2 linked regions of the Elephas maximus indicus genome follow. The protein of the gene in region 1 interacts with the protein of each later gene in a biochemical or structural test. Links are inferred from orthologs where the notes say so. Each region holds a gene or a part of one and is shown on either strand. Other genes may lie near its edges. The genes, in order: NFKB2 and BCL3.

Region 1 (11,950 bases):
GTTTCCACACTAACCAGAACCCTTGCCTGACCCCGACCCTGGGAAAAATTAGGAGGAACAGGGGATAAGGCTAGGGGCAGGGGGTAGAGCTAGGGGCTGTGATCTACAGCCACGTAGACACTAGAGTCCTTGGCCTCAGCTGTAGTGTCTCTGTCCAGAGCCCCACAGGCTCTGCCTTTAGACGCTTCCAGGGGGGTTTCCCTCTGAGGAAAACAGCGTTGGCTGCAGCCAAGCTATGAACAAAAGAATACGACAAGCCTATGTCCCTCAGCTGGTCTGCAAAAATTAGGAAAGAAGCTAGAGAGATTGCAAACTGACCCTCTCTCCTCTGGGTAGCAAAGAAAAACATTTGCCGGAAGTCTCCTTCTGTTACAAAAAGAGCAGCTGACACATGCATGACTTGTGTTGTTGACAGTGTTGTCTCTTAGAAGTCAGAGGAAGCTACAAGAGGAACTAATACTCAGACCTTAATTCTGACCTGACCGACAAGGAAGAATGGCTTGGTGACATGGAACTGACGGAAACCTTGAGGGAAAGTGATAAGTGTAGCTAGAGGGAAATGCTGATCATAATCACATCTGTCTCCCCTGAGAACTTGAGGAGACCAGGTGTCAGAAAGTCAAGAGGAAAGCTAGAGATGGCTCCATGACCTAAGACCCTCACATGGAGAATTGACATTTGTAGAGCACCATTATGTCTCAGTATTAAGTGCAATGCTCAAGCAACCTTTAAAGGTACTTACTTTTCTTACAGATGAGGAAACAAGTTCAGAGAGGTCAGGTCACTGGGAATTGAGGGAGTTGGGTCTCAAACCCAGGTCTCTCTCACTCCAAACATCACAGTCTTTCTTATAACATTTCCTCAGTTCAAAAATAATGGTGGTGGTGGTGCAGAAACCCTCTGAGTTACATTTTCTGTAGCTTCTAATGAGAAATATAAGGGTTGGGGCTCTGAAGAAACCACTGGCTGTACAGACTATTGCCTACTAAGCTCAGTTTAGTAGTCTATGAAAATTGGAAAGAGGTGCACATAACCAAGAATAAACGTGAATTTTTTTAGCCCATAAGAATGAGCCACAGTGGGCATATGCCCATCCAAAAAAAAAAACAACAACAAAAAATGTGGTTATTAGAGCCTGTGGATATTTACCTTTGTTCAGGGCTCACTGCTTGGGAGACAAGTCTCCATGAGGAAGCAGAACCCCTCAACCCCTGGGCTCCACTTGTGGAGAAGTAGCTTTAGTTCAAGTAAACAGTTGATCACTCCCTCCTTGAAATATTCTTCATTTGGCTTCTGAGAAACTCGTTTTTTTCTACCTCACTGACCACGCCTTTTCGATTTCCCATGTTGGCTCTGTTCATGACCTCTGAACATGAGAATGGCCCAGGACTCAGTCCTCAAATCCTCTATGCTCACTCTCTCGGTGATCCCATCCACTGCCGAGGCTCTGAATACTATCCATTACCCTGATTATATCCAATTCCCAACTTTGCATCTCCAGCCTGACTCCTCTCAACCCCAGACTCATATCCACTCGTCCCTCAACATCCCCATTTGCATGCCTCATGGGCATCTCAAATATAACAAATGTAAAGAGAAAAATTCTTGATTACCCCTACAAGTCTCTTCCTCTTCTGTTCTGCCCTGTACCAGGAAAGTGCAATTCCATTCTTCCCGATTCTTCTGCCAAAACCTCCCCTCTTTTTTTTACATCCTACATCCAAACCCTCAGCAACGCTTGTTGTTTCCATCTTTCGAATCTGTTCAGCGTCTGACCACTTCTCACCACTCTCACCATCCAAGCCACTATTTTTTGAACTCCTGGTCTCCCTTGGTCATCCTAGTCCTCTACACTCTACTCTCCACACGGCAGCCAAACGAAGCCTTTTAAAACATGTCACATCATTTTCACGCCACTGTACAAAACCCTCCAATAGCATTCCGTCTCATTCAGAATAAAACATTTACTTCATTCCACCTACCTGACCTCCTTGCTGTTCCTCAAATAAGCCAAACACATTCATATCAGACTATTGCAGTTGCTGTTCCATCACCTAGAATGCCCTTCCCCCAGATATCCACACGGCGGCCTGCCCTTCCCCCAGATACCCACACGGCGGCCTGCCCTTCCCCCAGATACCCACACGGCGGCCTGCCCTTCCCCCAGATATCCACACGGCGGCCTGCCCTTCCCCCAGATACCCACACGGCGGCCTGCCCTTCCCCCAGATACCCACACGGCGGCCTGCCCTTCCCCCAGATATCCACACGGCGGCCTGCCCTTCCCCCAGATACCCACACGGCGGCCTGCCCTTCCCCCAGATACCCACACGGCGGCCTGCCCTTCCCCCAGATACCCACACGGCGGCCTGCCCTTCCCCCAGATACCCACACGGCGGCCTGCCCTTCCCCCAGATACCCACACGGCGGCCTGCCCTTCCCCCAGATACCCACACGGCGGCCTGCCCTTCCCCCAGATACCCACACGGCGGCCTGCCCTTCCCCCAGATACCCACACGGCGGCCTGCCCTTCCCCCAGAAATCCACACGGCGGCCTGCCCTTCCCCCAGATACCCACACGGCGGCCTGCCCTTCCCCCAGATACCCACACGGCGGCCTGCCCTTCCCCCAGATACCCACACGGCGGCCTGCCCTTCCCCCAGATACCCACACGGCGGCCTGCCCTTCCCCCAGATACCCACACGGCGGCCTGCCCTTCCCCCAGATACCCACACGGCGGCCTGCCCTTCCCCCAGATACCCACACGGCGGCCTGCCCTTCCCCCAGATACCCACACGGCGGCCTGCCCTTCCCCCAGATACCCACACGGCGGCCTGCCCTTCCCCCAGATACCCACACGGCGGCCTGCCCTTCCCCCAGATACCCACACGGCGGCCTGCCCTTCCCCCAGATACCCACACGGCGGCCTGCCCTTCCCCCAGATACCCACACGGCGGCCTGCCCTTCCCCCAGATACCCACACGGCGGCCTGCCCTTCCCCCAGATACCCACACGGCGGCCTGCCCTTCCCCCAGAAATCCACACGGCGGCCTGCCCTTCCCCCAGATATCCACACGGCGGCCTGCCCTTCCCCCAGATATCCACACGGCGGCCTGCCCTTCCCCCAGATATCCACACGGCGGCCTGCCCTTCCCCCAGAAATCCACACGGCGGCCTGCCCTTCCCCCAGATATCCACACGGCGGCCTGCCCTTCCCCCAGATACCCACACGGCGGCCTGCCCTTCCCCCAGAAATCCACACGGCGGCCTGCCCTTCCCCCAGATATCCACACGGCGGCCTGCCCTTCCCCCAGAAATCCACACGGCGGCCTGCCCTTCCCCCAGATACCCACACGGCGGCCTGCCCTTCCCCCAGATACCCACACGGCGGCCTGCCCTTCCCCCAGATACCCACACGGCGGCCTGCCCTTCCCCCAGAAATCCACACGGCGGCCTGCCCTTCCCCCAGATACCCACACGGCGGCCTGCCCTTCCCCCAGATACCCACACGGCGGCCTGCCCTTCCCCCAGATACCCACACGGCGGCCTGCCCTTCCCCCAGATACCCACACGGCGGCCTGCCCTTCCCCCAGATACCCACACGGCGGCCTGCCCTTCCCCCAGATACCCACACGGCGGCCTGCCCTTCCCCCAGATACCCACACGGCGGCCTGCCCTTCCCCCAGATACCCACACGGCGGCCTGCCCTTCCCCCAGATACCCACACGGCGGCCTGCCCTTCCCCCAGATACCCACACGGCGGCCTGCCCTTCCCCCAGATACCCACACGGCGGCCTGCCCTTCCCCCAGATATCCACACGGCGGCCTCCCTCACTTGTTTCAAGTTCCTGTTCAAATGTTACCTCATCAGAGAGTCTTTCCCTGGCTGCTGTATAGAAAACCCTTGTCGCTATCCCCTTACCTGCTTTATTTTTCTCCGTAGTACCTGTCACCAGCACACATCTATTTGATTTTTGTCTGTCTCCCCTACTAGAATGCAAGCTCTCTGTAAGCAGGGATGTTGTTTTGTAGGGTGGGCCCTATCTGATGGTGAATGAATAGAGTGAATTTATGGTGCATCTGCTCTGGGCCAGGTGTTGTGCTAGAGCTGAGTGCAGAAACAGAGATGATTTTTATGTTGAAGATTGTGGAACAAACATAATGAAGCAGTTTCTTAAGTCCATTTAGGTGAGGCTATAGCAACAGATAATAAACTACTTTGAGTTATTAAAATCCCTACGTCTACATGGGTTGAGAATTATTGGAGCTGCTGATGGGTACATGGGGGTTCATTATACTATTCTCTGTACTTTTTATATGTTAGAAAAGTTCTATAATAAAGTCTTTTTTTTTTTTTTTTTTTAATCTCCAGATAAATTACAGCTCAGAATCTTGTAACTAAAACCACTCAGACCTTAGGAGCGCTTTTAGAGATGTGGGACTGGAAGGATTTGTGCCCATTTCTGCAGGTGGTATTTGAGCACTTTGAAAGGATGGTTGTATCAATGGCAGCCAGCACAGGTTCACGAAGTAGGCATATACCAACCTAACCTCATTCCATTTTAGTATAAGAGTTAAGAATATAAATTGCCAGGAGAATTTGGTAGACAATGTACCTGGATTTTACCAAATTATTTGACAGCATCTTATGATACTTGCTTGAGAGGCCCACCAAACCAAAAACCAAATCCACTGCCATCAAGTCCGTTCCGACTCATAGTGATCCTGTAGGACAGAGTAGAACTTCCCCATAGGGTTTCCAAGGCTGTAAATCTTTACAGAAGCGGACTGCCACATCTTTCGTCCACTGAGAGGACCACCAAAAACCAAACCAAACCTGTTGCTGCTGACTCATAGTGACCCTATAGGACAGAGTAGAACTGTCCCATAGCGTTTCCAGGGAGTGGTTGGTTGATTCAAACTGCTCACCTTTTGGTTAGCAGCCAAGCTCTTAACCACTGCACCACCAGGGCTCCTCTTAGAGAGGCCCACCAAACCAAAAAAACCCATTGCCGTGGAGTCAATTCCGACTCATAACAACCCTATAGTAGGGTGGAAAAGACTGCTTTGTTTTATATGTATTTAGGGGAAAGAACTTGGGCCTGGAGTCAACAAACTGGGTTTGTATCCTGGCTCTGTTCCTTTCTACCTGTGTGGTTGAGTTTACTTCTCTGAGCCTTCATTTTTTCCATCAGTAAAGGTAATATTTACCTCCTAGAGTTGTTGGGAAGAAGAATAAGAACTTATAATAAAGTACCTTAACACAGTACCTGGCACATTCCATTTGTGGACAAGACGAAGAGGAGAGACAAATAACAGGAAATGGCCCAAACCAAGGGCCATAAGAGCCTCCCTTTATTCAGTGCTAGTGCAGGCCCTCAGTTCCTTAAGAAGGTCAGCAGCAAGTTGCAGGAGAAACCTGAAAGGATGACTTCAGGAGGGAGATTACTCAGGGCGCCTCCGAAAGAGAGCCTCTACCAACCAGAGATGTCCAGCTACAAAGTCAGTGCTTTGGGAAATACTGTACTGTCCCTGCTGCTACTACGGTGTTCAAGCAGAAGTTGGGACGTATATAAGGTGATTTCCTCCCTCAGAAGAAGTTCAAGTTATTGACACTTTGGACACCTCTTCAATCCTAATATTCCAGATTGTGATGGGAGGGCGAGTCCTGAATCTCCCAAAAAATATTCTCCTTCCTGCGCGCAGAGCTCCATAGCTCAGGTCGCCCTGAAAGCCTGGCCCCATGTGAACCTGCCACTTAGTAAGGGGCCAAAAGAGCCGGAGGCTGAGTAAAGAGACTGAGCAAGAAAGGTTAGTCTCCTTGAGGCTCCGGTGCCTAAAGGGGCCGCCAGATGGCGCCCCGGGACCGACCGCAAGATCAGCTTTTTCCTCTTCCCCTAACTCTTCCCGGCAGCGGGGTCCCGCTCCGGGCGGGAGACTGGAGAGCTGAGGCCGACGGCTTCCCCCTGGGCTTCCCCGGCTTCAGATGTGGTCAAGCGTTAGGCACAACAGAAGCCCGGGCAGGTCCGGGCGGGCGAGGGGACCCGGGCCGGCCCTTGGCCGGTGTTGGAGCTGTGGCTGGTGCTCGGCCAACCGGTCCGGCCTCGGGCTAATCCCCGACCAGAGCCCAGTCTTGCGGACCGTCAATACCACGCCATTCTCCCAGCCCAACGTCAATCTTCGCCCTCTAGAGGGCGCTCCTGAATCGCTCCCGATTGGACGCGAGAGTCCGGGTGTTAAACTTTCGGCCAATGAAAAAGGGCATGGTGCGTGACGTACAGAAACGTCATGGGAATTCCCCCCTCCGGGGGGCGGAAAAGGGGCTTTCCCGGCTGGAACCCCGGTGGCTGGAGCCCTGGTGGCTGGAGCGGTGTCACGACCCGTCCGCGGCGGGTCGGGCCGGGAGAGGAGCAGGAACCGGAGCCGCCGCCTCTGTGAGTGACCGAGTTCACACCCTTGGGTGGCCCGGACCCGAGGAAAGGCGGGAGGAGGGCCTTTAACTGACTGAGCCCCAGGGCTAGAGATAGGCGCACACCCAGAGCAGACACACGAACGAGACACACGGATATACAGCCACATCCTTGTACGGAGACACGCGGACCTGAACATTCACCTGCTCTAATGCTGGCGTACGCAAGCAGCGTCCATGCACCGGGACTCGCACACACATGCACAGGCAGACCCGCTCACCCTTGCACCGTTGCTGGGACCCACGCCCTCCACGCACAAGCTCAGAGATCTGCTCACCTGTGCCGACATAGCAAGACATGCTTAGTCATGTGCCCACTCAGAGAAGCTTAGGGACGCTTACCTGCCCACAGACACATTCACTTGCACACGCATATTGACGCCGTGCACACACAGCATGCACCCGAGCACACGGGCCAAAACACACTTGTATACCTGTGATGGAGACCCACACCTGTGGGATTGGGGTGGGAAGAGTGCAGGGGTCTGCCCGTCTCCTCAGCACCCAGAGCCAGTGCGGTGTGAGAATCAACAGCCGTTGAGACGTTTCGGGGAGAGGGAAGGGGAGCCTGTCCCCAAGGAGAAGACGCCTCCCGCTGCGGTCCCCAGAGTTCCACTCTCAGGGCAGAACCCCGGGGCCCCCCGCTGGGAAGAACCCCGCCTACAGACCATTCAGAGTGGGGTCCTCCCTACAGCAGGAATGTCCCCCAAAAGCCCCCAGGGTGAATCAGCCGTGGCCTCCCTCCTGGCAGAAAATCCCAAGGCTGCTGCTCCAGGCCGTGGGAGGGGAGGGGGATGGGAGGCGGGCCTGGTCGCGGACTGGGAGCCTCCGCCGGCCGTGAAAGACCCTCAGGTCCCTGGCGCCTGCCCTGGAGGGCTTCCCTGGCTCTCCACACCCCCAGCCGGGTGAGAGGCTGCGGGTCCCAACAGCGGGGCCGGGGCCTCGCGCCCCTCCCGCCGCGGGGGCGGGGCCAGTGGCGTCATTTCCAGGCCCGCCCCCTCCGGCCCCGCCTCCCCCTGGTATTTTCGGGACTTTCCTAAGCTGCTCTAACTTTCCTGCCCCTTCCCCGGCCTAGCCCAGCTTCGGATCTCGCCCTCCACCGGATCTCGCCCGCCGCACTCGGACGGGCGGCTGGAGGAGATCGGACCCTCCCCCAAACCTGGGACCCCCCTCTCCCGCCCACCCCTGGCCTGATCCAGCTCTCCCGCCGTTCCCCTGCCCCCAAAGCGAGCACCTGAAACTCTAGGAAGCAGAACCCGGCTGAAGCTATAGACAGAGCCGGGCCCAGCCCAGAGACATGGACAGTTGCTACGACCCAGTGAGTCACGCCGCCTGGCCCGGACGCTGGCCGGCTACCTCCCTACCTCCCTGTCTGCTTGCGTGTTGCCGGAACCCCGTCTCTCCCCTGCAGCTGTCTGTCTGCCTCTGCGCTGATCTCAACCTGCCAGGCATCTATCTGCCGCCTCCTCCATCTGTCCTGCTCCCAGATCTCAGAGTGCCTACCCTAATGCCCCTCCAGGCCATCCTCTGCCTGCCTGTCTGCAAATTCTGCTTCCAAAGGCGCGTTCTTATGGGTCTAGAGAGAGGGTTTAGAGCCAGGAGGAGAAGGGCTCCGGGGAAGCTCTGAATCGGCCGCCCCTCCCCCCCATCTCTCCAAACTAGGCTCTGGATGGCATCATGGAATATGATTTCAAATTCAACCCTGCCATTGTGGAGCCCAAGGAGCCGGCCCCAGAGACAGGTTAGCAGGCTCCCTAACCGCCCTAGTCGGAGAGGGAGTAGGGAAAGAGGACCATGTGCCCTCTGCCTGGGGGAGGGGCTCATGGAGCCTGGCTCAGAAGGTCCCTCTGTCCCCAGCTGATGGCCCCTACCTGGTGATCGTGGAGCAGCCTAAGCAGGTGAGTGACCCGAGGGTATGGTGCGGGATGGCTGCAGCCTTGCAAGAGAGTGAGTAGTTGTAGTTGTGTAGCCATGTGAGATCACTGCCCAGGGAGGCCACTGAAGATTGGGATGGTTGACCACTGCTGATCACAGTGGTGTGATCGTGGTTTAGGGCAGATACTGCTGGTCACCATGGTCAGTGCTGGTCAGGAGTGTGGCTGGCCAGAGTGGTCTCTCCTGATCACACTGTTTCTCTGCCCCTGGACCTTCAGCGAGGCTTCCGATTTCGCTATGGCTGCGAAGGACCCTCCCACGGAGGACTGCCAGGTGCCTCCAGCGAGAAAGGCCGGAAGACCTATCCTACAGTCAAGGTGAGCCAAGGTGGTGCTGGAGGGTGGGTTAGTGGACAACATGTCCAGTAGCATCACTGACAGCCCTTGCCCCTCCCAGATCTGTAACTACGAGGGACCAGCCAAGATCGAGGTGGACCTGGTAACACACAGTGACCCACCTCGCGCCCACGCCCACAGCCTAGTGGGCAAGCAATGCTCGGAGCTGGGGGTCTGCACTGTGTCTGTGGGGCCCAAGGACATGACTGCCCAGTAGGTGTCCCTTACCCCTGGCCCCCACTTGTGTGCCCCCTCACTGCCTGCCAGTCCTGGGCCCCAACCCACCTCTGGGAGTTTAGCATCTGACCAAGAGGAAAGACTTAGGTTGGCCCCAGATCCTGAAGCCTCCGGGAAAAAGGAGGAAACCTTCCTTGAAGAAGTAGAGCTGAGCTAAGCTGAGCCCTGACAGTGGGGAGTGTGCTTCAGGAGGAAAGAACTGCATGGGCAAAGGCCTCTGACTCCCCTCCCCATCCTCCAGGTTTAACAACTTGGGAGTATTGCATGTGACCAAGAAGAACATGATGGAGATTATGACACAGAAACTTCAGAGGCAACGACTCCGCTCCAGGCCCCAAGGCCTCACTGGTAATGGGTGGGAGTAATGGGAGGTGGCCATGGGTGAGCAAGGAAGCAGGGTAGGAAGGAGGAAACGCCCAGGGATCACACATGTGCCCACTCCCCAGATGCTGAGCGGAGGGAGCTAGAGCAGGAGGCCAAGGAACTGAAGAAGGTGATGGATTTGAGTATCGTGCGGCTGCGCTTCTCTGCCTTCCTTCGAGCCAGTGATGGCTCCTTTTCTTTGCCCCTGAAGCCAGTTATCTCCCACCCCATCCATGACAGCAGTGAGTATCCTGACTGCCTGAGGGCCTGGACCTAGGTGGCCAAGGGAACATAGGGACAACCTCCAGCTATGGAGGCAAATAAACCTGAGTTTCAACCTGGCCTGAACCACGTTTGAGCTGAGTGACATTGAACAAGTCATTTCTCCCCTCTGAGTGTCTTTTCTGTTTTTGGTAAATGGGGATATGCGATTCCTGCATCTTGCAGTTAATGAATACAAAACACCTGGCTCCCTAAACAGGCCATGGCTATTATATCATCTGAACTAATCCCTGCTTTGTTCCCTAGAGTCTCCTGGGGCCTCGAATCTGAAGATTTCGAGAATGGACAAGACAGCTGGCTCTGTGCGGGGTGGAGACGAAGTTTATCTTCTTTGTGACAAGGTGCAAAAAGGTGAGGCTGGAGCTCAGGCTGGGAGCTTGGGATACTGGGTATCAAGATGGAGGGCCAGGGCCGGGCAGGCAGGGTAGCTCCAGGACAAGTAGCCCTGGAGACTCTACCTGGAGCTGTGGCCAGGTTTCAGTCTTCTCTTTAGATGACATTGAGGTTCGTTTCTACGAGGATGACGAGAATGGATGGCAGGCCTTCGGGGACTTCTCTCCCACAGATGTTCACAAACAGGTATACAGGGAGCGAGGACTGGGGGGTACACAGGGAGGCCAGGACTGAGGCACGGGGCTGAATTAGGCGAAGGCCTCACTGACACCCTGTATGTCCCTTCCCCAGTATGCCATTGTGTTCCGGACACCCCCCTATCACAAGATGAAGATTGAGCGTCCTGTCACCGTGTTCCTCCAACTGAAACGCAAGCGTGGGGGGGATGTCTCTGACTCCAAACAGTTCACCTATTACCCACTGGTAGAAGGTAGAGCTGAGCTAGTGGGACTGGGAGCTGGGCTGGAGGGCTCCAAGAGCTAGACTAGGGGACCCATGAGCTAAGTTAAGGGTGGGGAGAGTTCAGTCTGAGGGCTCTAGCTGAAGGCTTTTTGGGGACGAGCCCTAACCAAGCTTGGGGAAGGGCTCTGGAGACGTGGCCTATGAATTGGGTTATAACATCCCATTTCCCCCTGTCCTTTTATTTTTTTTTTCAGACAAGGAGGAGGTGCAGCGGAAGCGGAGGAAGGCCTTGCCCGCCTTCTCCCAGCCCTTCGGGGGTGGCTCCCACATGGGTGGAGGCTCTGGAGGCTCTGCTGGAGGTTATGGAGGAGCTGGAGGAGGAGGTGAGGGAGTGCTGGTGGTGGGAAGAGGGATGGAGGAGGGAGAGATGAAGAGAAGCTGGGGAAAGAAGCCTGGAGCTCTGGTTGGTGCCCCTTCCCCACAGCCCTGCCTGTACCCACAGGTGGCAGCCTCGGCTTTTTCCCTTCCTCCTTGGCCTACAGCCCCTACCAGTCCGGCGCGGCCCCAATGGGCTGCTACCCGGGAGGCGGGGGCGGGGCCCAGATGGCCGGCTCGGCGCCTGGCGTAGATGCTGGGGAGGAAGCCGCAGAATCGAGCGCGCCCCAGCGGGAGCCGCCGGGCCCAGAGATGCTAGCTCAAGGTACGGCCTCCCGAATCTGGGCGGTCACCACGACGGGGTGGGGACCTGCCCAGCGCCCGTGGCCCACGACCACGCCCCCTGTCGCCCCCAGCCCGCGAGTACAACGCGCGCCTGTTCGGCCTGGCTCGGCGTAGCGCCCGTGCCTTGCTCGACTACGGCGTCACGGCGGACGCGCGCTCGCTGCTGGCGGGACAGCGCCACCTGCTGACGGCACAGGATGAGAACGGAGACACGTAGGCCGGCGGGGGGGCGGGTGGGGACCGGGTCGCTCCCCTCCCACGCACCCACGCACCCACGCACCCACGCACCCACGCACCCACGCACCCACGCACCCACCCACCCACCCGGGGCGCGTGGTGGCGCGGGGGAGGGGAGCGGAAGGCGGCGCTGGAGGGTTAGCGGGGGTCCTGGAGCTCTGGAGTTGAACAGGCCGGGTTTCAAGTCCGGCTTTGCTATTTACTAGTTATATTGAAGGTACTTAAACTCTCTTCAGTTTTGTCCACTCTAAAAGGGCACAATAATAGTATTTATCTACCTCAAAAGGTGCCCAGAAGGATTAAGTTCAGGTACAGCAATGTCTTTGGAGATGGACTGAGGCCCCATTGAGGGAGATTATGGAGGGTACAGGACACTCTGAGCAGCTGGGCTTGCTAGGCCAGAGTCTCACCCCTCACCCTGCAGGCCACTGCACCTGGCCATCATCCACGGGCAGATGAATGTCATTGAGCAGATAGCCCATGTGATCTACCACGCCCCACACCTCGGCGTCGTCAACCTCACCAACCACCTGCACCAGGTGAGGGGGTACCTATTGTTGAGGAGTAGGGGTTGGAG
Region 2 (11,215 bases), on another chromosome or scaffold:
CAACATGGCTGCCACTCCCTTATCCCATATTAATGACAACAAGCATTTAAAAAGAATATCTTCCATTCACAGAGAGCTTACTCGGTGCCAGGCCTGCCTGCACCAACATGTGTTAATTCATTTGATCCTCGAAACAACCCCAAGAGGAAGGCATTGGTTTCGCCCCCATTTTATAGATGAGGAAACTAAAATTCAAAGAGGGTAAGTCACTTGCCCAAGGCCACACAGCTGGTAAGTGGCAGAGCTGGGATTCCCACTCAGACAATCAGAGAGCATCATTGGAAGGTGAGGACAACGAGACCCAGTGTTGTGTGGCCTCACTGTCCACCATCACTTCCTTGGGACTCCTCTGCCCCACAGCTGACCTTCCCAGATACCTCTGGGGCAGATGATGGTCCCCCTTTCCCTGAGTCACCCCCGTCTGATCGAAGCACTGAGTGGGCCGAGCGGGAGAGGGGGAGCGGAGGGTGCCCAACCTTCCTAGAGAGAATGTTGCAATCCTCTGACTCAGCGTCGTGCGTGCAGACCCAGCTTGAGGGAGAAAGGGGAAGATTAAGTCTTGGCCCAGGTCCCAGATGGGTTGGTCCCACTTGGTGCCTGGGGATGGGGCAGCTGCCAAGGCCCCAGGGCGGGGAGGAACCAGGAGGTTCAGGCCATGCTCCAGGAACCTGGCCTGCATTCACCCCTGGGGGTGGGGTAGGTAGGGCTACCTCAGGGGCAGAGCAGTGGGTAGATCCAGGGTAGACTTCCAGTCCTAGGCCAGATGGCAGGCTGTGTACTCTGAGCAAGTCCCTCCCCATCTAGGCTCAGAGCCTCTGGTTTCCTCTGCCTGCAGAATTCATTTGCTCTCCGTGAGCCTCCCTGGACCCTGAAGTCTAACTCTACTCCCTCCTGCTGCAATGTGTCCCACTTTCCACCTGCTGGACCCTGCCTGTGACTGGAGGCAGCAGAGGAGCCCTACAGAAAGTGTGGACCATTCTAAACCCTGCAGGTGCCCTTGGGCACTTAACTTTGCTCCTCCATGCCTCTGTTTCCCCACCTAAACTATTCCTTCCCACGGAGTAACAAAACAATTGCTGCTGAGTCAATTTCAACTCATGGCAACCCCAGGTGTGTCAGAGTAGAACTGTGCTCCATAGGGTCTTCTTTTCCTTTCTTACTTTTTTTTTTTGACACTTAAAAATGTTTATTATTTCACTTAAAATACCAACAATACACACATTACATGTTAAAATAAATTAACATTTTTTTCTTGAGGAGTAATTATTTTCCAAAACTAAAAAAATAAACTAGTAGTAAGAGTGCCATTGTTTTACACTTTTACAAGTCTTTCTAAAGTCTGGCTTAACAGAGTACAGAAGGACTCTCTAATTGGCTGCTGCATTCAGTCTGTTACAATATGTTGTTTTGCTTTTCATGAAGTTCGCAGTGGCTGATTTTTTAGACGTAGATCACCAGGCCCTTCTTCTAAGGCACCTCTGGGAGGACTCGCACCTCCTAACTTTCATTTAGAATTAGAGCTGGGGAGAAGTTTCCTGAATACAACCAAACACTTTGAGGGACAGAGTAGCCAGGGCAGAGGTCTGGGGACTGTGGTTTCAGGGGACATCTAGGTCAACTGGCATAACAAAGGGTATTAAGACAACGTTCTGCATCCCACTTTGGTGAGTGGCATCTGGGGTCTTAAAAGCTAGCAAGTGGCCATCTAAGATGCATCAATTTGTCCCAGTTCACCTGGAGCAAAGGAGAATGAAGAACACCAAATACACAAGGAAAATATGAGCCCAAGAGACAGAAAGGGCCACATAAGCCAGACTCCATCAGCCTGAGACCAGAAGAACTAGATGGTGCTACCAATGACTGCCTTGACAGGGAACACAACAGGGAATCCCTGATGGAGCAAGAGAAAAGTGGGATGCAGACCTCAAATTCTAGTAAAAAGACCAGACTTAATGGTCTGCCTGGGACTGGAGGGACCCCAGAGGTCATGATCCCCAGACTCTCCGTTAGTCCAACATTGAAACCATTCCCAAAGCCAGCTCCTCAGACAAAGATTAGACTGGATTGTAATCCATAATATGATACTGGTGAGGAGTGTGCTTCTTAGCTCAAGTAGACACATGAGACTATGTGGGCAGCTCCTGTCTGGAGATGAGATGAGAAAGCAGAGGGGACAGGAGCTGGTAAATGGACACAGGAAATACAAGGTGGAGAGGAGTGAGCTGTCACATTGTAGGAGAGCAACTAGGGTCATATAACAATGTGTGTGTAAGTTTTTATATGACAGACTGACTTGAATTGTAAACTTTCACTTAAAAGCATAATCTAAAAAAAAAAAATTAGGGTTACACAGGCCTGGCTTCAAATCTCGGCTTTTCCAGTTCCTCACTGTGTGACCCTGGGCAATGATTTCACTTCTCTGTGCCTCAGTCCCCCTTTCTGCAAATGAGATTTTAGGGAATTATAGGTGAATTAATTCTCAAGGTGTTGAGAGGAGCCAGTAAGCCTAGCTCAGCCCACCCATGGTTAATGGACCCTTCTTGTCTCATCTCTGGGTGGGAAAGGGTGACAAGGAAGCCCTGGCCTGATGGATAAGGTGAGGATTAAGGAGGTGGTATGGAGACAGGAATGAACACGATTCATTCAGTCAGTCAGTCCACAAAATTCTCAACCTGCTCAGCAACCCCGTGAGGCATGAGCTGTTGTCACCAACTATTCAAGGCACAAGGAAGGCACAGACAGGGGAAGCCACCTGCCCAAGGTCACATAGCCAGCGTATGGCAGAGCCAAAACCAAACCAAACCCATTGCCATCAAGTCAATTCCAATTCATAGTGACTGTATAGGACAGGGTAGAACTTTCCCAGTAGGGTTCCCAAGGCTATCACCTTTACAGAAGCAGACTGCCACATCTTTCTCCCATGGAGCTGCTAGTGGGTTCGAACACATGGACCTTTCGGTTAGTAGCCAAGTGCTTAACCATTGCACCATCAGGGCTCCTAGGAAGCAACTGAGCCAGGGCTGAAATCCAAGTCTCTAAACCTAGCATGGTGAATCCCAATTTCCCTAATGAAATGGGTCCTGCTGCTGAAAACATGGGTTAACTGATAACAATGATAATAATAACCATAGCAATACTAGCAGCTACACTGCACTGAACACTTTCTACACATCAGGCCCTGGAGGACAAAAGCATATTTTCTCAGTTTGGTCCATTTTATAGATGAGGAAGCTGAGGCTCCATGAGTTTAAACAACTGCCTGGAAATCACAAAGCACTGACAGAAGGAGGCACGGCTTGTACCTAGTTCTCAGTTTGAAGCAAGGCAGGACAAGACCCAGGAATTGAGCCGGATGGGAACTTAGGGTCTGATCAGCTCTACTTTCTCCTCTTAGAAGGGGAAACTGAGGTCAGAGGACAAGAAAGCCCCAGGCCCATAGGCTTCTAGACAGGACTTTATTACCCTCTCAGGATTTTAATCAGGTAAGATCTTGGCCTTTCCTTCCCCAGGAAGGGTTAGAGTAGGAGGAGGGGAGAAGAGGCAGTAGGGCGGAGGAGAAGACAGAAACAGGTACAAGGGGAAGCCTGCGTGAGGGAAAGTGGTTAGATTCCAAGCAGACTTCCGGGTCTTTTCTGGGAAGTTTCCGGGACTCATCCAGGGGCTGCCCCAGCCAGCAGGGGAGGTGGGGGCTCCAGAGCATGAAGCCCAGAGAGGGGTGCAAGGAGTGAGGGGGGAAAAGAGGGGGTGACCATCCTGGTTCTGCATCCTCCATTCCCGACACTGGCAGGAGGTGGCTGTGGAAGCTGGGACTTTCCTGAGCAGCAGAAGATTCTGGGAAATTAGACAGTTGCAGGGCGGGGCTGACTCCCAGTCTCCCTTCCCTTCCCTTCCCTCCCCTTGGTCCCTGCCGGTTCTCCAGGCACACCTCTCTTTCCCTCTGCCCCAAGGAGGCCCTCCTCAAATTGCTCCTCCTCCCTCAGACCAAGCCCTCAACCCTCAAGCCTTCTCTCTCACACTGCTCCTCCTCCCTCCCTTAGACCTTGTCCCCCTTCCTCAGATCCTCATCTCCTCCCTCAGTCTCTTACCTCCTCCCTCAGACCCTCACCTCTTCCTTCAGACTCTTATCTCCTTCCTCAGACCCTTACCTCTTCTTTCACACCCTCTCCTTCTCCCTGAAGGCCTGTCCTCTCTCAGATGTTCATCTTCTCCCTCAGACTCTCACCTCCTCTCTCAGATTCTCACATCCTTCCTCAGACCCTCTCCCTCAGCCCTGTTCCCCTCCCTCAGAACCACACCTCCATTATACCTTCTCCCCTCCCTCAAACCCTCACTTCCTTCCTCGGACTATCACCTCCACACCACCTCCCTCAAATCTTCACCTCCTTCCTCAGACCGTCTCCCTTAGACCATCTGCCTCTCTCAGACCTGTCTTTCTCCTTCAGGCCCTCCTCCCTCAGACCCTTCTATCCCTCACCCTCTCTATCTCTAACCCTCTGGGCCAAGTGCTGAAACTCCCAACCCCAGTCCTACCTGGGCCCAGGCCCTTTGCACCACCTGCCACAGGGTGCTGGGGAGCAGGAGGAACCTGGGTGTCTTTCTAACCGTAACTCTTAGGGTCACCACCTTCACAAGCTCTGCCTCCCTGAACCTCGGCTTCCCTTTCCGTACAATGAGGCAGTGTCCCACACCACATCCCTCCCGTGTGTTTGAGGATTCCCAGAGGAGAGGACTGGGTGGGCTGGGAAGGTGGGCAGGGGATAGACTTCCCTTGTTGTAGCCCCCACAATACCGGGAGGCAGGGGTTGACGTCAGCCCCATTTTCCAGAAGAAGTTGAGACTCAGGAGAAGGGGTGGACTGTCTGAAGTCACACCTCAGACAGAGAAATAACACCAGACACACCAACAGGCCAGAGACAGAGTGACCAAGGGGGTGAGGGGGTAGTCCGACTTTGTGTCTATGTCTTTGTCTCTGGGTTGCTCTCTCTCCCACTGGGAGGCAATTCCAAGAGGCCCTGGAGTCACTCACTTTCCCCTCCCATTTCCTCTGAGCAAGGAATGAGATGGGATTTGAACCCAGATCTGTGAGCCCAGATGCTTCACCCTATATGCGCTGGGAGGCATATAGAGAGGACAGATCAGGCAAAGGGTGAAGCTTCCCTCTGCCTACATCTGAGCCCACATCCCAGGTTAACCATCCACTGGGGTGAGGCCCGTCCTGGCCAAAGTCCCTTCCCAGCGCCGGGGCCCACACCCACTTTCACGGTCCTAGGGAGATGCTTCCGGGGAGACAGAGACAAGATCAGGCAGAGATGGAGACCCAGACAGTGCCATAGGGTCGCAAAAGACAGAGACAAAAGAGACGTGGGCCGGGCCAGTGACAATGTGAGGGGACAAGGGAGGCCAGGGATAGAGGTACGGGGTTGACAGAACCAGGGAGACCCCGCATGCCGCCTTGGCAGATCCGGGGCGCAGCCCCCATCCCCTGCCCCCCTGGGTCCGCAAGCCCTCCCCCTCTGCCTCCCTGGCCTCATTGACCGGGACTCAACCCCAGCGGCGGCCCCGCCCCCAGGGAAATCCGGGAAAGCCCCGGCCGCCGAGCCCCTCCCCCGGGCGGGGCGAGAGGAGGAAGGGACAGGGAGGGGACAGGAGAGGAGACGAGGAAGGGGCTGCCTCTGTCCCCTCCCTCCCCGGCAGCTCTGGCGGGTCTGAGTCATGCCCCCGACCCGCTCGGCTGGTTCCCCACGAACCAGCCCCTCCCCGGTGGGAGGGGAAAGTGGGGGCACTGAGGGGAGTCAGACTGCCTCTCCCCTCCTGGGCCTAGTCCTTGGTCGCTTTGTCTCTGGCCTACTGGTCTCTTCTTATTTCTCGATCTCTCTCTTCCTCTGTCTTCTTTGATCTCCATGTCTCTCTCTGTGTGCACCTGAGATTCTTCGAGAACACACCCTGTGCCCCCTGGGCCGGGCTAGGTTCAGGGACCCCGCACGGAGGAACACATTTAATGTTTCTCCATGCACCCCACGCCACCCCAGTCACAATTGGTACGTGGGGGCAGGGGAGGGTCAAGGAAGAGTTCCTGAGTGCGTGCTGAGCTCCAGCCCCTGCCCTGGGTGCGCCTTTTCACTCCCACAAAGGAGGAAACGGCTGGGAGAGGGAAGTGCCTGGTCAAGGTCAGCCAGGGAGGAAGTGGGAGTCAAGATTCGAACTTGCGTCCTAGCGACACCAGGGCTTCTTGCAATTGCTTTCCAGGGGGAGACAGAGACAGAGATAAAAACCGAGAGGCAGTTTTTTTTTTTTTTTAGCGAGATAGTACGCGACACAAAGGGACTATAGAGAGAGATAGAGATACAAAAAAAAAAGTGACAGACTGAGACTCTGAGACACCTATTAACAGGGAAGAGAATCATTGACAGAGACTCGGAGAGGCCGAGATATAGAGACATAGCCAGAGAGACAAAAACACAGAGCCAGACATTGAGAGGCCCGCAGCCGCAGGGCTGGGGGTACCTTCTAACCCCAGCCTCCTGCGAGGCGGAGTCGCCGGGACGCCGGGGCCGAGAGGGGGCGGGCGCGGGGCGCGGCGAGGGCGGGGCGCGCGGCGGCTGCACCGCGGGGCGGCGGGAGCGCAGCGGGTCCAGGAAACCCCTGGGACGGACGGGTGGCCCCGGGGGGGCCGGGGGCGGGGAGGCGGGCGGCCGGCACCGCCCCGGCCGACAAAAGTCCCTTCAGTTCAGCCGGCGGCAGGGGAAGTCCCGGCGCTCGGAGAAACCAACCCTCCGGTGCCGCCGAGCAGAGCCGCGCTCCGGCCGCCCGTTCGGCCGCCGTCGCCGGCGGCCCCATGCCCCGATGCCCCTCGGGGGCCATGGACGAGGGGCCCGTGGACCTGCGCACCCGGCCCAAGGCCGCTGGACCCCCTGGCGCAGCGCTGCCGCTCCGCAAGCGCCCGCTGCGCGCGCCCTCCCCGGAGCCCGCCGCCCCCCAAGCAGCCGCGGGCCCTGGGGTCCCCCCGGAGTCCCTCTGTTGCGGCCCCGAGGCGCCAGTCGTCCCTGGACCCCCCCACGGCCTGCACCGGCCGGAGGCGCTTTACTACCAGGGTGAGTGGACCCGGCGAATCAGGGCCAGGTGGGGGTTGCACAGGGCGTAGGGTCGTCCCTAGGGCCGTGTGCAGAGCTCAGGACAAGTATATGGAGTCCCGGGGAGCTGGGGGACAGGAGTACAGAACCCAAAGTTCCAGGGACACAGATATGGAGGTCCCAGGGAGCTGGGGGGCAGGGGAGCTGGGGTGGCACAGATATGGGGAGCCAAGGTATAGTGCTTAGCAATACATATATGGGGGTCTCATATGGGGGTCTTGGGGAGTCAGAAGGTAGAGTCTGGGGTCCCAGGGACACAGATAGATATGACGGTCCCATAACTACAAAATCTCAAGAACTCAGATAATCTAAGGTTATGAGGAGTCAGGGCCTGGACCTAAGAAACTTCGGTTCCTGGGATCCAGATATGTGGGGTCAAAAGCAATCTAGGGAACAGAGACTGGGGTTCTAAGGAGGCAGATATTAGAGGTCCTGGGATGTCAAAATTTCAGGTACCCAGATATCAGAAGACATGAGGAATTAGGATAGCTGAGTTTGGGGTTCTGAGTACCCCACTATCTGGGATCCCAGGGATCCAAGGAAACACCGGAATTCCAGGGACCCAGATACTGGAGGTTCAAGGAGCCAGAGGGACAGAGAACCAGGGTTCTGGACACCCAGTTATGTGTGGTCACAAGTGATCAGGGTCCCATCTGGGTCACAAGGGCAGGGTGTGGGTACAGAGGGTTCTTGGAATGGGCGGCAGGACTGAGGAATTCTGGGACTCAAGGATTTAGGGCCAGGATGAGAGATTCAGGGGTCTCCAGAAAAAGGCACCAGAGACCTAAGGCCTGGTATTGGATATGCAGGGACCTGGAAGCTTGGGGGTCCAGGAATGGAGGGTCCCCAAGGATAAGGGAATATCAGAGAAGGTCATGCGCCAATCTCCCCATCCCGTCTGCATTACCCACTGTGCCCATGTCACCATTCCCCAAGTGACCCCAAAAGCTGCAGAGAGCCCAGATTTGCCCCCTCCCCAAACCTTAGCCAAGTTTCTGCACCTTCCACTCCATCAGAGTGCAACAGATAAAGAGGCTCAAGCTGTGCATCAGAAAGCCTGGCACTGCCTCCCCACCCTTTCCCATTCCCTGGGTGTGAACCTGGGCCTCAGTTTTTCCCATCTGTGCAATGGGTGGATGTGGATTAGACTGCTGCCATGGATAAGTCGGAATTGACTTGAAGGCAACAGGTTTGTTTTTTTATGGTCCCTTCCAACCATTGAATCTGGACAGGCTTCTGATGCCACCCCCTCTTACCCTCTGACCCTCTCCTCTCCTCTCCCCAAACCTTCTACACATACACCCCACACTCTTTGCCCAGTTCTCCATCCATTCCTTATCTCTCTTGGCCATAAATTCACTTAGCAAACAGGCCCTGGCGTTTCCCTGCTGGATGATGTTGGGGGATTGGTCCACACCCTTAAGGGATTCTTTTTCTAGCAGGAGATGAGATTCAGTTAAATGACAATGAGGGTGACCAAGACTGGGGGTGTTATGGAAGCCAGAAGGGAGGGATGGGGAAAGGGGGTTTGTCTTGGCCTTGTCCTGGGACTTGAGGACCCAGTATGAGATTGCAGAAAAACTGGAGATGAAAGTCAGACTGCACTGCAAAGCCAAGAGATGGGGAGTGGGTTAAGGGTCTCTGGGCTTGGCCTCACCTACATCTTTTCTCTGTTCCCCACTACCCAGGACCTTTACTACCCCTGTACTCCACCCCAACCATGGGCTCCCCCTTTCCACTGCTAAGCTTGCCTGCCCCCCTGTACCCCATCATGTGCTCAGTGGAACACCCCCTGTCAGCCGACATCGCCATGGCCACCCGTGCAGATGAGGACGGAGACACGTAAGTGACAGTCCCCCACTAATGGAGGGCAGGTAGGGAGGCCAGCCCTCCACCCACCTCACCCACAACACACGGGCACTCAGCTTGGGCTTTTGCATCACCAGGACCTGAGTTAGAATCCCATCTCCACTGCTAGCTGGGTGACCTTGAGCAAGGCCCTTCCCCTCTCTGAGCCTCAGTTTCCTCTAAAAAATGGGTACCCTGACAGCAGTTCCTCCTTAGAACTGTTTTTGGAATCAGAGGCTTCCAATTTTTTTATCACAACTCAAAAGTAAGAAATGCATTTCAGTGATTGATTTATTACATGAATTATACATGTAAAGCTCCTAGCACTGGGCCTGGTATATTGTAAGTGCTCAATGTTGTTAGTTGCCATCGACTTGATTCCAACTCATGTGTGCAGAGCAGAACTGCTCCATTGGATTTTCAAGGCCGTGACCTTTTGGAAGCAGACCACCGGGTCTGTCTTCCAAGTTGCCTCTGGGTGGGTTTGAACCACCAACCTTTTGGCTAGTAGTCAAGCACTTAATGGTTTGTACCACCTGGGGACTCCTTATGTGCTCAATAAGTGTATATTATTATTACTGCTACTTTATATCAAATCCAGCATGCCCATAATACATACCCACAGATACTTGAACTAAAAATTGCACAAAACAAAACAATATTCATCCAAACTCCATAGGATCTACTTTGATGTTTTCTATCCTAGTCTGTTTCATTGTTTTTCTGCTGGCCACAATCCACTAAATTAATTTGAAGACCCCCTAAATTTCACAACCCCCATGCTTTTTCACCTGCAATTGGAAGAAAGTTCCAGCTTTCATGAGTCTGCTGTGCAATCCTGCAGGGAGAATTTAGCCCTATACCATCAATACACTTGACCATCATGATTACTGGTATTCTGTCCACCTAGGTTTGAATCTCAGCTGGCCACTTTCTCACCCCCCTGTGCCTCAGTTTCTCCATTTAAAAAAAAAAAAACCCAGGAACCATAAATGTGTGAGGATCTCTGTGAGGAAGAAATGAGATTATTTCTAGAAACTGCCCATCTGGGAATTGGTTTTGGGGACTGGAAACCACACATAGGCTGAACAGGCCCATTTCTGCAGGATGGAAGACCACCGCTGGTCTACTGGGTGACTTCACCTCCCTGAGCCTCAGTTTCCCTGTCTGGAAATCAGGACTCATAACAGCCCCTCTCGCAATTAGGATTCAGTGCAATGGTGTACACATATGGTGCAGAGAACAGGGCCTGGCAACACAGTAACCACTCAATACGTGGGAGTTGGTGTTGACTGAACAGAGGTCCCAGTAGTCGTGGGTAGTTATGGGCCATCCCTGTGAGGCGAAGCAGGAGAAAGTGTTGGAGATCTAAAGAGCTCAACAAAACCTTGTTCCCCGCCTAGGCTCAGTGCCCCTGGGGGTCATCTTGTATCTGCCCCCAGGGGTGACCTGTTGTGGCCTGTGAAAGCAGTCTCCAGCCCTAGACCCGCGCCCCACCCGCCCTCCCCCCAACGCAAACACTTCTGCCTCAGCTGCCTGTTGGGGGAAATCCCTTCCCGCAGAACTTGACCGCAGCCCAGCTGCTCTGCCTCCCCCCACGTCAGCACCCCGTCACTCACTAGCAACCTTCCCCCTCCTGACTCTCCCTCAAACCTTAACCCCTTCCGCTGGGGCCGAGACTTTACCGGAACGGGCAGCTGTCCCAGCCCCAGACTGCGCCTTGGCCCCACTTAAAGCTTGGGGAGGGGGGCGGCGGGGGAGGAGAGGGCTGGGACCTTGTCTGAGTCCCCCAGTTAGCAATGGTTGGGACGCTGGACTTCTAGGTCTTCAGGGGAACAAGAGTCTCACGGTATCTGAACCCCCCTCCCCCCCCCAGAGGTCAGGGGACATGTTGTGAATCCCAGAGAGCAGAGGTTGGAGTGCTGTACTCCTGGATCCCCAAGGAGGTTAAGGAACATGATGACGAACTCCGAGGGGGCCTAGAGGCAGGGCCCAGTGCAAATGATTGTGTAGGATCCCTTGTTCAAAAAGAATTTCAAGGCAGCTGCAGCAGAGCATTAAAACAAGCGTGGGCCCTTCTAAGCGTGGGGCCCTGTGCAAACTGCACAGATCGCATTCCTGTGAAGGCGGCCCTGCTAGGGGCCTGGAAGTCTGTGACCCCAAAGGGGCAACGATTGGGGCACTGCATTCCTGGGTCCCCAAGGGGACAAGGAACACGGTAGAGGGCAGCTTAGGGA

Evidence for each region.
Region 2: the proteins of NFKB2 (region 1) and BCL3 form a complex in vitro, tested with the Homo sapiens proteins (2 studies listed by BioGRID). The link is inferred for Elephas maximus indicus from reciprocal best matches to the Homo sapiens genes NFKB2 and BCL3.

Annotation. Positions count from the first base shown.
Region 1 is NC_064834.1:53,958,543-53,970,492, forward strand, and holds the start of NFKB2 (nuclear factor NF-kappa-B p100 subunit), read left to right. Parts: upstream 1-6,321; 5' UTR 6,322-6,434; intron 6,435-7,544; exon of another isoform or gene 7,545-7,696; 5' UTR 7,697-7,766; coding exon 7,767-7,787; intron 7,788-8,131; coding exon 8,132-8,210; intron 8,211-8,326; coding exon 8,327-8,367; intron 8,368-8,622; coding exon 8,623-8,721; intron 8,722-8,800; coding exon 8,801-8,952; intron 8,953-9,217; coding exon 9,218-9,324; intron 9,325-9,422; coding exon 9,423-9,581; intron 9,582-9,867; coding exon 9,868-9,972; intron 9,973-10,114; coding exon 10,115-10,200; intron 10,201-10,305; coding exon 10,306-10,444; intron 10,445-10,670; coding exon 10,671-10,799; intron 10,800-10,918; coding exon 10,919-11,116; intron 11,117-11,207; coding exon 11,208-11,349; intron 11,350-11,797; coding exon 11,798-11,912; intron 11,913-11,950. UniProt on the Homo sapiens protein: NF-kappa-B is a pleiotropic transcription factor present in almost all cell types and is the endpoint of a series of signal transduction events that are initiated by a vast array of stimuli related to many biological processes such as inflammation, immunity, differentiation, cell growth, tumorigenesis and apoptosis.
Region 2 is NC_064829.1:104,957,066-104,968,280, reverse strand, and holds the start of BCL3 (B-cell lymphoma 3 protein), read left to right. Parts: upstream 1-6,640; 5' UTR 6,641-6,835; coding exon 6,836-7,091; intron 7,092-8,818; coding exon 8,819-8,972; intron 8,973-11,215. UniProt on the Homo sapiens protein: Contributes to the regulation of transcriptional activation of NF-kappa-B target genes. In the cytoplasm, inhibits the nuclear translocation of the NF-kappa-B p50 subunit.